Linked DNA regions of Xenopus tropicalis. The protein of the gene in region 2 interacts with the protein of the main gene of each other region in a biochemical or structural test. Links are inferred from orthologs where the notes say so. Each region holds a gene or a part of one and is shown on either strand. Other genes may lie near its edges.

Region 1 (6,218 bases), on a different chromosome or scaffold from region 2:
TTTTAATAAATCAAACAAAAAAACTACTTTTCTGAGCACATTCAAATGTCTTAAAGAATGTACTCAGAAAAGTAGTTTTTTTGTATATTTAGAGGAGTATAATGCACTGGCACATTCTTGATGTTTTCTTTGAAGGGGAAGGAAAGACAGTTTGGTATTTTACTGGCAGAGACGGACTGGGCTGGCGGGACACCGGGCAAAAATCTGGTGGGCTTTAACCTCCCTTGGGCCCTGCTGGCCAAAACCCGATCCCAGCTGGCCTCCCTCCCCCAATAGCATCTACTTATGCATGCTCGGAGGGAGGGATGGGGCGTGCGCATGCGGTGGAGGCCCCTGGGGTGTGTGTGGGGCACCTTTGGGTGGCAGCCCAGCCCCCAGTCCGACCCTTTGGCAGAAAGCTTCACCATACCTGCGTAAACAGCCCTAGGAGTTCCCTCTGTTTAAAATAGTAGCTGACATTTTAGCTTCCATGCTGCAGATCTAGCTGCTGGTAGCTCAGATTACACAGAGTGGGGAAGGGGGAGCAAATGCTGATGAGAGGGGGAGAGGGAGAGGAGCAAACTGAGCATACTCATGCGTGTGCCCTGTAGAATTTTTCTGTGAGCTGGAAATCTGACACAGAAGAACGGCTAATCAAGTAACCATGGACAGACCCCCTAACACCCAAAAGCTCACCAATGGCAGCCATGGGAGTGGCACTGGGTCGATGGGGGCCATTGGGTTTTTTCCCGGTATCCTGTCCACAGTCCAACAATGACTAAGCTGATATATTGTGATACTTACTGCTGTATTACAATTGTTTACACTCAATAAAGACAATAATTAAAACAAAACATATTAGAATTAAATCAAAGTTATATGTCAATTCAACAAATACATGGGGGGCAAGTTGGAAAGAGCAAGGTGTGCCCATATGGAGGTTTGTTTATTTTCCATTTTTATTTTCATAAGATAAAACATATAAAGCATGTACAGTTATCTAAATCTAAATACATACACTTACCAGTGTTTATATTATTGACCCTAAAGGATTGAACTAAAATGTTACCAATGTTAACCACCATAGTGGGCTAAAGGTGCAACTAAGCTAACTAAATGAATCCAGATGATGTTCCAGATGCACATTTTACCTGATTTTGAAAACACATTGTCATCAGTACAAGAAAAATATTGGGGTGGTATAAGATGCTGTTCTATGACATTTTGCCTATATTTCAGCTAACACCTGCCTGAGAAAAAGGTCCATAAAACCATTGTAATCAGCTTATGCAGAATGTATTAGACTTAGGGTTTTAAAAATGCCAGAGAATTCTGTAAAACCTGCTTATCTGTTTTTTGTAGAATATAGGATTGTGCAACCATTATCTGCCAAAACCCACATTCCAAGGGACAAATATTGAATTATGAATTATTATTTTTAATGTGGATGTATTTTATGCAGATTCTTAAAGAAAAACTAAACTATACAAACATATATGGCTAAAAATATTTCATAAACTGAGATAAAAAGATATACAAAGCTTTGAACATGTCAAAGCTCAGGAATTAGAAGATTAAGGCTTCTGTCAGGTAGACCAGGAAAAATGTCAGACACATCTTCCATGAAGATTTTTTGAATGCAAAGAAAACCCCACAAGCAACTGAAATACAGGTTTCTCTGTAACTAAGTGGTGTGGGTGTTTCCTTATGCACAATAAAGAGATACTTGAAAAACAAATAAAAGAAATGTGTTTGTTTTATGATCACTCATATTTTCTTGGTCCACATCTTACAAACAGTGCAAGGAGTATATAAGGAGTATACTATTTGTACCCCTTATACTGTATGTATACTACTGAATAAAGACGTGTTCTGCAAGGAAGAGTGGGGAATATTGCCTAAACCATGAACAAAAAAAATGTTTAGATATGTTTAGATATTTTATTTTTTTATTTGAGCATTACAATTTGTAGCATTATGATTTAAATTTAGTATTATATTTGTGCATTAAAACTTGTCTTGTTTTAGTTTGTTCTCTGAAGAGGTTGTGTTAAACTGTTTATTAGGGTGACTGATAAAATAATGTTTTATACAAATTTAAGTAAAGTTGCTATAATGTAAAGTCCACAAAGTGAAGCTTGAACCTAATGGAGCATAATAGTATTAAATATTATGGTTGTATGCTTCTGTCCTCCAATCAGCCCTGCCTCAAACAGCATTTGTGACAGTCTCTTAAGTTCTTGACTCCACAATGCAGTTGAACCCGCATTATTATTTCCCACAGAACACTTGTTTTCTACAAAATAATTGCCAACAGTTACTTGTCTGACTGTCCAAATTTGTTCAATTTAATGCCACTTTATTAGCAGCAAGCATAATAGTACTAAAACTTATAAACAATCACCCACAAATAGTTATTATTATTATTATTATATTATGTATTTACAAAGTTGCAGCACTGTACAATAAATTGGTTTACACATGGGCCATACAGAATTACATACAAAGCAACCGATAACCAATACAATTGGTGAAGAGGAACCTGCCCAAAAGAGCTTGCAATCTATAAGGAGAAGGGGATGAGACACAAGGTGTGGGAACGGGCAAGATCAGACTTGGGAATGTTGGCACTAGTGCCATGACCCAACACTAGTTATATAGAAACTGGCACACACACAATCTCTGCCACATACACAAAGACACTGGTTACTCACCAATTGTTGTCCCAAGTTGCTGAGACAAAAAAGAAGTCTCTAAAAAAAAGAGGTATGTATAATCAAAAAATGTACAAGTGTATCTGTACAATAGGGCTCTAAAGATAGCGGGACGTGCAACACTTTCATGGTCAACCCTAATGTGTCAATATAATAAAAAAATAAAAAATAAAAAAAAAATAAAAAATATATATATATATATATACACATGTTATATTAGACATGTTATATAGACACTGCTACACAAGCTACTCTTTCTAGTGACTATCAGAAGTAAAACATGGAAATCCTGCTATATGGATATTCCCCTAACTGCACCATGGAGGTAGGGTGGGAAACTTAAAACAAGCTAATACTGAACATATAGATTTTAGGGCTGCTGTGGAACTACACTCTCTACACTGGCAGTTTACAGAAGTTGCCTGCACTTAGGAGGAAGCTGCTGTTTATTATGTGTAGAGCTTCCATTCTGTGTCCCTACTGCTAGTGCTGAACTACAACTCCGCGGATATGCAGACAGCCGAAACAACCGTGCTGTAATTGTGACCTATCATATAGTCAGGAAGATTAATAACAATTACTTTGGTAACTGTGCATGGGGTAGAGCACGGACAGGCAACTATTTGGCATCTGGCACATGGGCAGGCAACTATTTGGCATCTGGCACATGGGCATGCAACTTTAGCCTGGCAGTTGTTGTTTGCTATCATCTGGAGCACAAAAAGCTGCTTATTCCTAGGATGGAGCAAGTGGAAGTTTGGGAGCACATTCGCGCACTTACCTGCCCGCCCCTCTTCTCTCATTGTGTCTGCTGTATTCAAAGCCGTAATTAAAACCTGAGAAATCCTACATTTGTATGTGAACCCTAACCATCCGACTGGCTTGGCACCGAGTATACACACCCCCTAACCACGAACGAACCCCAACTACTCAGGCTGCAATTCTCCCGGAGCTCACTTTCCAGTCTGGAATTCCCCCGTTCCGCTCTTCCGATTGGTCGCAAGTCTACTATAACGTCACGTCGACTGGGCCCAAGGAAATCCCCTTGTCTCTGCCTGTAATCACACGTGACTTCCCATTAGCGTGACGACACTGCCAGGAGCCTGGTAGCCAAGGAGTTCGGTGAATGGGATTCATAGCCGGAGCTTCAGCGTGGATGTTGTGGATGCAGCAGGGCGGGGACTCGAAGGTTTTCTTAAGAAATGTATTCTTAGGACCGCCATGGCGTGGGCAAGAGACCTAAGTATACTAAGGGAAAGGCCACTAGCCCGCACTAAAGCGTTAGTCCTCACTGTTACTGTGTGAGTTTTGTGAGAGAGGCAGTGGAATTTGTGAATAAACACAAGGAGTTCGGGGAACTAATCCTAAAGATTAGAAAACCACAATTATTTGGGTGTAGTTTATAGACTAAGCTAATCTATTGTTTTTTTTTTTATTTTTGGCCTGGATTGTACGTCTTTCCAGCTTGTAATTTTAAAAACTTATATATATATATATTTCAAGGGGTCACAGACCCAGCAGTTAAAAAAACTTTTATTTTATGCAACCAATTTAAAAAAAAAAATTATTTGTGTTTTTATTACTTATCTTTCAATTCATTTCCTCTTTAGTTAATTTTGCAGTCTGTCATTTAAACCAACCCTAAGTTACTTGGTAAATGGGGCCCTAGCCACCAGATAACAGCTGTAATTACAAAATGGAGAGCTGCTGATAAAAAAAAAAAGACCAACTGCAATTTGTGTCAAAATATCAATGTCCACAGTATACAAAGAGTTATTTTTGAGGTTAACTATTCTTAACCTAAGTATGGTGCTGAGGAAAGAGAGACTCTACCATCAGCCCTGGCATGCAAGCGAGCAAGCTATATATCTGAATGCCCAGTGGCAGGTCAAAGAAAGGTTATAGAACCCACAGTTGGCATGTAAAGAGTGCATGCGCTAAAAGAGGATAAAATCCTTGGCTGTATCTCATGGTCTTCAGCACACAGCTATTCTTTACAAGTCAAGATCCTTGCCTGGCAATCTGCACTAGACCAGCTAAGGGCTTGTACTCACCAGTGTTAGTTCCTGCGCTTTCCTGTGGGGATGTTCTGTGTTCTACTACACTGGTGGGACAAAACATACTGCATTCTGCCTGCCTAGGAACTAGGCTAGGCTTTAAGTTTAAACTTGGTTTCTGACTTGTGGCGCTAGTCAAGGAACCTTTCATTGGAGATGATTTACCCTAATGAATTACTAATGGAGAATAGACTAAAAGGGTTGAGGAGACCGCCTCATACGTGTGCAAATAAGTCATAACAGGATTCTGGGAACAAATTCCTTTGGCTCTACCTAAGCTCATCAGAGAACCCTGCACTACACTGATGAGCCCCAAGAAGGGCGAAACTGGTCTGTAGTTGGGAATCTGATCAGCTATTATCCTGGCTTTTGCATTGGAAACCCAGTGGGTCAGTATTAGTCTATAGGATAAACCCATGTAAATGGGACTTTTCTAAGAGCCTAAAGGAATTTGTTCCCAGAATCCTGTTATGAATTATTTGCATACGTATGAGGCGGTCTCCTCAACCCTTTTAGTTTGTTTGTGAATCCCCACTCCTGGCTTACCTAAGCTGATCAGAGAACCCTGCACTACACTAATGAGCCCCAAGAAGGGTGAAACTGGTCTGTAGTTGGGAATCTGATCAGCTATTATCCTGGCATTGAAAACCCAGTGGGTCAACATTAGTCTATAGGATAAACCCATGTAAATGGGACAAGCCCATGTAAATGGGACTTTTCTAAGAGCCTAAAGGAATTTGTTCCCAGAATCCTGTTATGACTTAATGGAGAATAGCAAATCTAACAGGACCGGAAAAGGTAAATTACTGTTATCACAGTTGCATGAAATCCTATTCTCCATATCCTAAAACAGGGCTGTCCAACTGAAGGCCCACGGGCCAGATTTGGCCCTCCATAGATTTTTATGACCCCCCAGACTGCTCAAAGGCTCCATAAATTTCACTATATGACATCAATATTTTATATCTGGCCCTCCAACATACTGTATGACATATAATTGACCAACTACATATGATAAGTTAAACAGCACTGTGCTAAAAGATCAAAAGTCTCATTTTGGGCAAAAGTTCATTGTTTTTGACCAACAATGCAGCATTGAAGCTATATGGCTTGCTGATTTTTACTGTTATCAAATTGTGCTTTCTAATCACCCACTAATGACTACAAAAACAGCTACCCCTTTTCTGTTGTGTTAGGCACATGGTAAATATCAGTACTGTGCATCAACCCTTAAAAAAAGCTCACCCACCACTCATCCACTTCCTACTTGTACTGGACTAAGTTTAACCATTGATGGACAAATAGGTAAGATTCTTTCTCACAAAAGCATGACTGAAACCCTAAATTAAAGGTGTTGTATTATTGAGGAACATTATTTGCAGCTGTGGCTGCCCATACTCATTATTAACTCATTTCAAAATCTCAGCTGCCAAAAACATATAGCCTTCCCCACCTCTATGCCTAAGGG
Region 2 (5,672 bases):
TTCCTTATAATACATGAGTGATACTCAGAGTTCCCTGTATAACTCAGCCTGCAGCCTTGTGCCTTTATATGGGCACAGAACCCCTCAGTGACTGCTAATATCCTTATCATTTACAGTAGGGGGTACATTATCCCTTATAATACATGAGTGATACTCAGAGTTCCCTGTATAACTCAGCCTGCAGCCTTGTGCCTTTATATGGGCACAGAACCCCTCAGTGAGTGCTAATATCCTTATCATTTACAGTAGGGGGTACATTATCCCTTATAATACATGAGTGATACTCAGAGTTCCCTGTATAACTCAGCCTGCAGCCTTGTGCCTTTATATGGGCACAGAACCCCTCAGTGACTGCTAATATCCTTATCATTTACAGTAGGGGGTACATTATCCCTTATAATACACAAATATTTTTAAATCCATATATTTTTACCTAGGGGTATATTATTCCCTATCTGTTCCTTACTGCAGAACCTACAGGCACAATATAGTATTATAAGCACAAAGGGATGTTTACTTTTAAGCTTGATGTCAGTTTATGGATTCGTAGGAAATGTACTTTGCATCCTAGAATTTTAAATGCAAATGTTATTAATGTGCAGAATAATAGTCAGACCTTTATATGTATCCTTGTTCCTTGTTAGAGTTTTAGAAAATTCCATTTTTAGCACATTGCCCTTTTGCATTGCGCACCCTTACGTTTATTTAAAGGGCTTCAGGGAAGGTTACAGAGACAGATCTTATATTGGAGTTTTGGTGAAGGAGGAAGAGGAGGGTAAGAAGGCTTGTGTAGTAATGACTATAAAGGTGGAAGCTGGAATTCATTGCCTAGGGAATTACACAGTAACATGTGGGAGGCCGTCTACTCACTATTACCTTACTGCTGGAGAAGGAAGACTTGTACAAATACATTTTGTATATAATTCTGTTTACAAAATGTGGGCAGAAATTGCATTTAGTGCTCATTTACTGATGCAAGTGCAGTGTACCAAGTAGGGTTGCCATCTTGCCAACTCAGCCAGTAAAATACCAGCAAAGGGTGGGGCTATTATTAAAAAATTACTGCCAATATATACTGGGTATATATAATTTGTAATTCAATTGGGCCCTTGCCGCCTTACATTCGCCCCCAGCCCGCCCCTTTCTTCCCTCCACACTAACCTAATCCAACTAATCTGGTTTGGTCCCCTTGATGATTAGACTCCACCCCTGTGACATCATGGCCCCACCCATTTATGTCACTATCTATATCTTTATGGACCCATCACCGCGCAGCCGGTAGAGTTTATAGAAAAAGGTGACAACCCTAGTACCAAGCAAAAAAACAACAAGAAAAAAAAAACAAAAAAATCATAAATTGCTAATTTTTGGGCCACAGTGAATCACAAGGCTTACACAGCTGTGTTATGGCCAGTATGTGGGAATGCATGCTGTTATATTTATATTTTTAGTTGCTTATTGGGGGGGGGGGGGGTAATGCAATGAGCAACATCACCTGTGATGTTTTACTCCACTTTTTACACAGCATGATAAATATACCCCTTGGTGTTTTATGAAGTTTTTTTAACTGCAATTCTTGGGTTTTCCTAAAACCTGCCCACTCTTTGGACAACATGAACATAGTGTTACTGAAACCATCTTTCCCTGCTGTCCTATCTTACTTTGATTTATCAGTTTTCCCTACCTTTTCTGCCAATAGCTGTTGCCCTAGGGCAGTTATCCCCAACCAGTGGCTCAGGGGCAACATGTTGCTCCCCAACCCCTTGGGTGTTGCTCTCAGTGCCCCCAAACCAGGGAGTTATTTTTTCCTGACTTGGGGGCAAGTTTTGGTTGAATAAAAACAAGATTTCCTACCAAATAAAGCCCCCTGTAAGCTGATAGGGTGCATAGAGGCCCCTAATAGCCAATCACAGCCCTTATTTGGCTCCTCCATGAACTTTTATGGTGCTTGTGTTGCTCCCCAAGTCTTTTTATATTTGACTGTGGCTCTCGAGTAAGAAAGGTTGGGGATCCCTGCCCTACAGAGATAGACTATGTACCAGGCCCAGGCCAGTCTATTTTTACGCACCCATTTAAAGGCAGTTCTGTGTGATAGTCCTTTATTTGCTACCCTGCTGATAGTAATGCAGACATATTCTTTCTTTCTAGTTCTCAAGAGCTGCACCAATGTTCCCTCAAAGTGATGCTGTCAGAAGGAAGCCCCTCACGCAGTTTGCTAAAATTAATGGGGGAACGAGGATGCACCACAAAGGATCTGACAGAGTTCCTACAGAGTATCGGCCAGTCAAATGCTATTCAGTTGCTGAAGCCCCCAGGTCAGACTTTGTTGCCTTGTTTAGCCTCTAAGCTATGATGGACATATCTGGTGTTCCTGTGGATAAACAGTCATGGAAACATTTGTCAGGGGTTTAGATTTGGCATATCAATGTCTCCCCCCCTACTCTGACCTCATTATTTATTGCCCTTAACTACAAATAAGCCTTTTATAGATGGGCTATCTGTAGTTCAGAGCAATAAATATTTAATAAGGTCAAAGATTTGGGACTTTGTGTGGAAATAATGACGGCTGGGAGGTATCGAAATATTATGTGATTTAAAATTTATAAAAACTCATTATTTTACAGGTATGTTACCCATTATCCAGAATGCTCTGGACCCACACTTTTCCTTATAAGGGATCTTTCTTTAATTTGGATCCCCATAACTTAAGTCTGCTAAAAATCATTTAAATATTGAATAAACCCAATAGGGCTGTTCTGCCCCCAATAAGGGGTAATTATATCTTAGTTGGGATCAAGTACAGGTATTGTTTTATTATTACAGAGAAAAGGGAATCATTTAACCATGAAATAAACCCAATAGGGCTGTTCTGCCCCCAATAAGGGGTAATTATATCTTAGTTGGGATCAAGTACAGGTACTGTTTTATTATTACAGAGAAAAGGGAATCATTTAACCATGAAATAAACCCAATAGGGCTGTTCTGCCCCAATAAGGGGTAATTATATCTTAGTTGGGATCAAGTACAGGTACTGTTTTATTATTACAGAGAAAAGGGAATCATTTAACCATTAAATAAACCCAATAGGGCTGTTCTGCCCCAATAAGGGGTAATTATATCTTAGTTGGGATCAAGTACAGGTACTGTTTTATTATTACAGAGAAAAAGGAAATCATTTTTAAAAATTAGAATTATGTGTTTATAATGGAGTCTATGGGAGATGGTCTTTCCGTAATTCGGAACTTTCTGGATAACAGGTTTCCGGATAAGGGATCCCATACCTGTATTATATATTGTAAATTTTTATTTTTGACTCAAGGGCAATATTTACCGATATATATATATTCCAGTTTGGGGAGATTATTTAATAGGCCACTTGATTTAATATAAACTATCTGTTGGTTAAGTATTCATTCTGGGGGGGGTATAGTTTTCTTTAGTATACACCCTAAGGATATTATTGTTTCTGTTCATTTTTGGGTGTGTGCATAGACAGATGATAACATGTATAACATGGAGATTTCCCCAGCCATAAGCATTTAAATGACTCAAGGAAACATATCAGTTTGTGCTGCCAAATTGTATTTAGCCACCAAACATGCAATGTTATATCTATAGGAATATGTTGTCAATAACTAGCATTTGCCTTGTCATGTTTATAGGGTTCTACAGGTTCCTCTCTATGGGTTCCTCCTGCTTGCATCAAGATCTAATGCAACATTACAAAGCCATTATTAATTGTTAAGACATATATAATTATTACTATAAGCAGTCATAACACTTTTTAAAGGGCACCTATTGCTCCCAGCAAATACTGTGGCTCAGTGTATGCCTAATTGCCTGTTCCAGTGCCTGTATTGCTGTGTAACCACCTTCTCTAGCGGTGCTGCTGCCAATACATTGGGAGAAACCACAAACACTTCTGTTAATTTACAATAGGGATCCATATGTGCCTTTTAGTGCCCAGTAGCAAGGCATTAATGGCAGCGGGCTTCATTGTGCACAACCGCCTGGAACTTATTGGGGCAGGCTGGGCGGCCATGTTGGCCCTTACCACAAGATGCCAAGGAGCATGTTTTGATGCAGGTTCCTTTGTGAATAGCATCAATGCGAGATTAATTCTTTGTGTGTTGCATATGTAACTGACTATTGAATAACCTAGTGGACGATCAGTTCCCTTGGGGTACTATTAGATATATTACAGACTTCTTTGGAAAACCATACCCCTAGCATGAATACAGGTACAGGACCCGTTATCCAGAATGCTTGGGACCAAGGGTATTCCGGATAAAGGGTCTTTCCGTAATTTGGATCTCTATACCTTAAGTCTGCTAAAAAATCAATAAAACATGAATTAACTTAACATGAATTTTATTATTACAGAGAAAAGGGAATCATTTAACCATTAAATAAACCCAATAGGACTGTTCTGCCCCCAATAAGGGGTAATTATATCTTAGTTGGGATCAAGTACAGGTACTGTTTTATTATTACAGAGAAAAGGTAATCATTTAACCATGAAATAAACCCAATAGGGCTGTTCTGCCCCAATAAGGGGTAATTATATCTTAGTTGGGATCAATTACAGGTACTGTTTTATTATTACAGAGAAAAGGGAATCATTTAACCATTAAATAAACCCAATAGGGCTGTTCTGCCCCCAATAAGGGGTAATTATATCTTAGTTGGGATCAAGTACAGGTACTGTTTTATTATTACAGAGAAAAGGGAATCATTTAACCATGAAATAAACCCAATAGTGCTGTTCTGCCCCCAATAAGGGGTAATTATATTTTAGTTGGGATCAATTACAAGGTTCTGTTTTATTACTACAGAGAAAAAGGAAATTAGTTTTAAAATTCTGAATTATTTGATTAAAATGGAGTCTATGGGAAACGGGCTTTCCGTAATTCGGAGCTTTCTGGAAAACGGGTATCCGCATAAGGGGTCTGATACCTGTACTTAACCAGCAGATAGTTTATATCGTATTAAGTGGCCTATTAAAGATTATTACCAAACTTTTGCATGTTTTCCCTTAAACCACCATTATGTGATGGGCTGTGTGCTCCCTCAGAGATCAGCTGACAGGAAGTTACATAGTTACATAGTTACATAGGGTTGAAAAAAGACCATTGTCCATCAAGTTCAACCCATCCAAGTAAACCCAGCACACACAACCTATACTTACCAATCTATACACTCACATACATAAACTATATATATACAACCAGTAATACTAACTGTAGATATTAGTATCACAATAGCCTTGGATATTCTGATTGATCAAGAACTCATCCAGGCCCCTCTTAAAGGCATTAACAGAATCTGCCATTACCCCATCACTAGGAAGGGCATTCCCCAACCTCACTGCCCTCACCGTGAAAAACCACCTACTCTGCTTCAAATGGAAGCTCTGTTCCTCTAATGTGATGCAGCTCTAACTGTAACAGGAAGTAGTGTTGGAGTAAAAGGCAGAACTCTGCCCATTCATTGGCTGATGGGACCTAGCATGTATGTGTGCCTTGGCTTGTTTGTGTGCACTGTGAATCCTATGATCCCAGGGGGCGGCCCTTAGTACTTAAAATGGCAGTTTTCTACTTACGATTACCTAATGCCACATACTACTAAAAAAGCATATTTTTGTGAAAATTTTTTTTTAGATGAAGCAGAGT

What was found. The genes of interacting proteins can lie anywhere in the genome.
Region 1: of the proteins of malt1 (region 2) and relb, one has a biochemical effect on the other in vitro, tested with the Homo sapiens proteins (2 studies listed by BioGRID). The link is inferred for Xenopus tropicalis from reciprocal best matches to the Homo sapiens genes MALT1 and RELB.

What each region holds. Positions count from the first base shown.
Region 1 is NC_030684.2:71,126,800-71,133,017, reverse strand, and holds the start of relb (transcription factor RelB), read right to left. Parts: upstream 3,778-6,218; 5' UTR 3,497-3,777; coding exon 3,475-3,496; intron 2,733-3,474; coding exon 2,694-2,732; intron 1-2,693.
Region 2 is NC_030677.2:201,626,868-201,632,539, reverse strand, and holds part of malt1 (mucosa-associated lymphoid tissue lymphoma translocation protein 1), read left to right. Parts: intron 1-2,148; coding exon 2,149-2,315; intron 2,316-5,672. UniProt on the Homo sapiens protein: Protease that enhances BCL10-induced activation: acts via formation of CBM complexes that channel adaptive and innate immune signaling downstream of CARD domain-containing proteins (CARD9, CARD11 and CARD14) to activate NF-kappa-B and MAP kinase p38 pathways which stimulate expression of genes encoding pro-inflammatory cytokines and chemokines.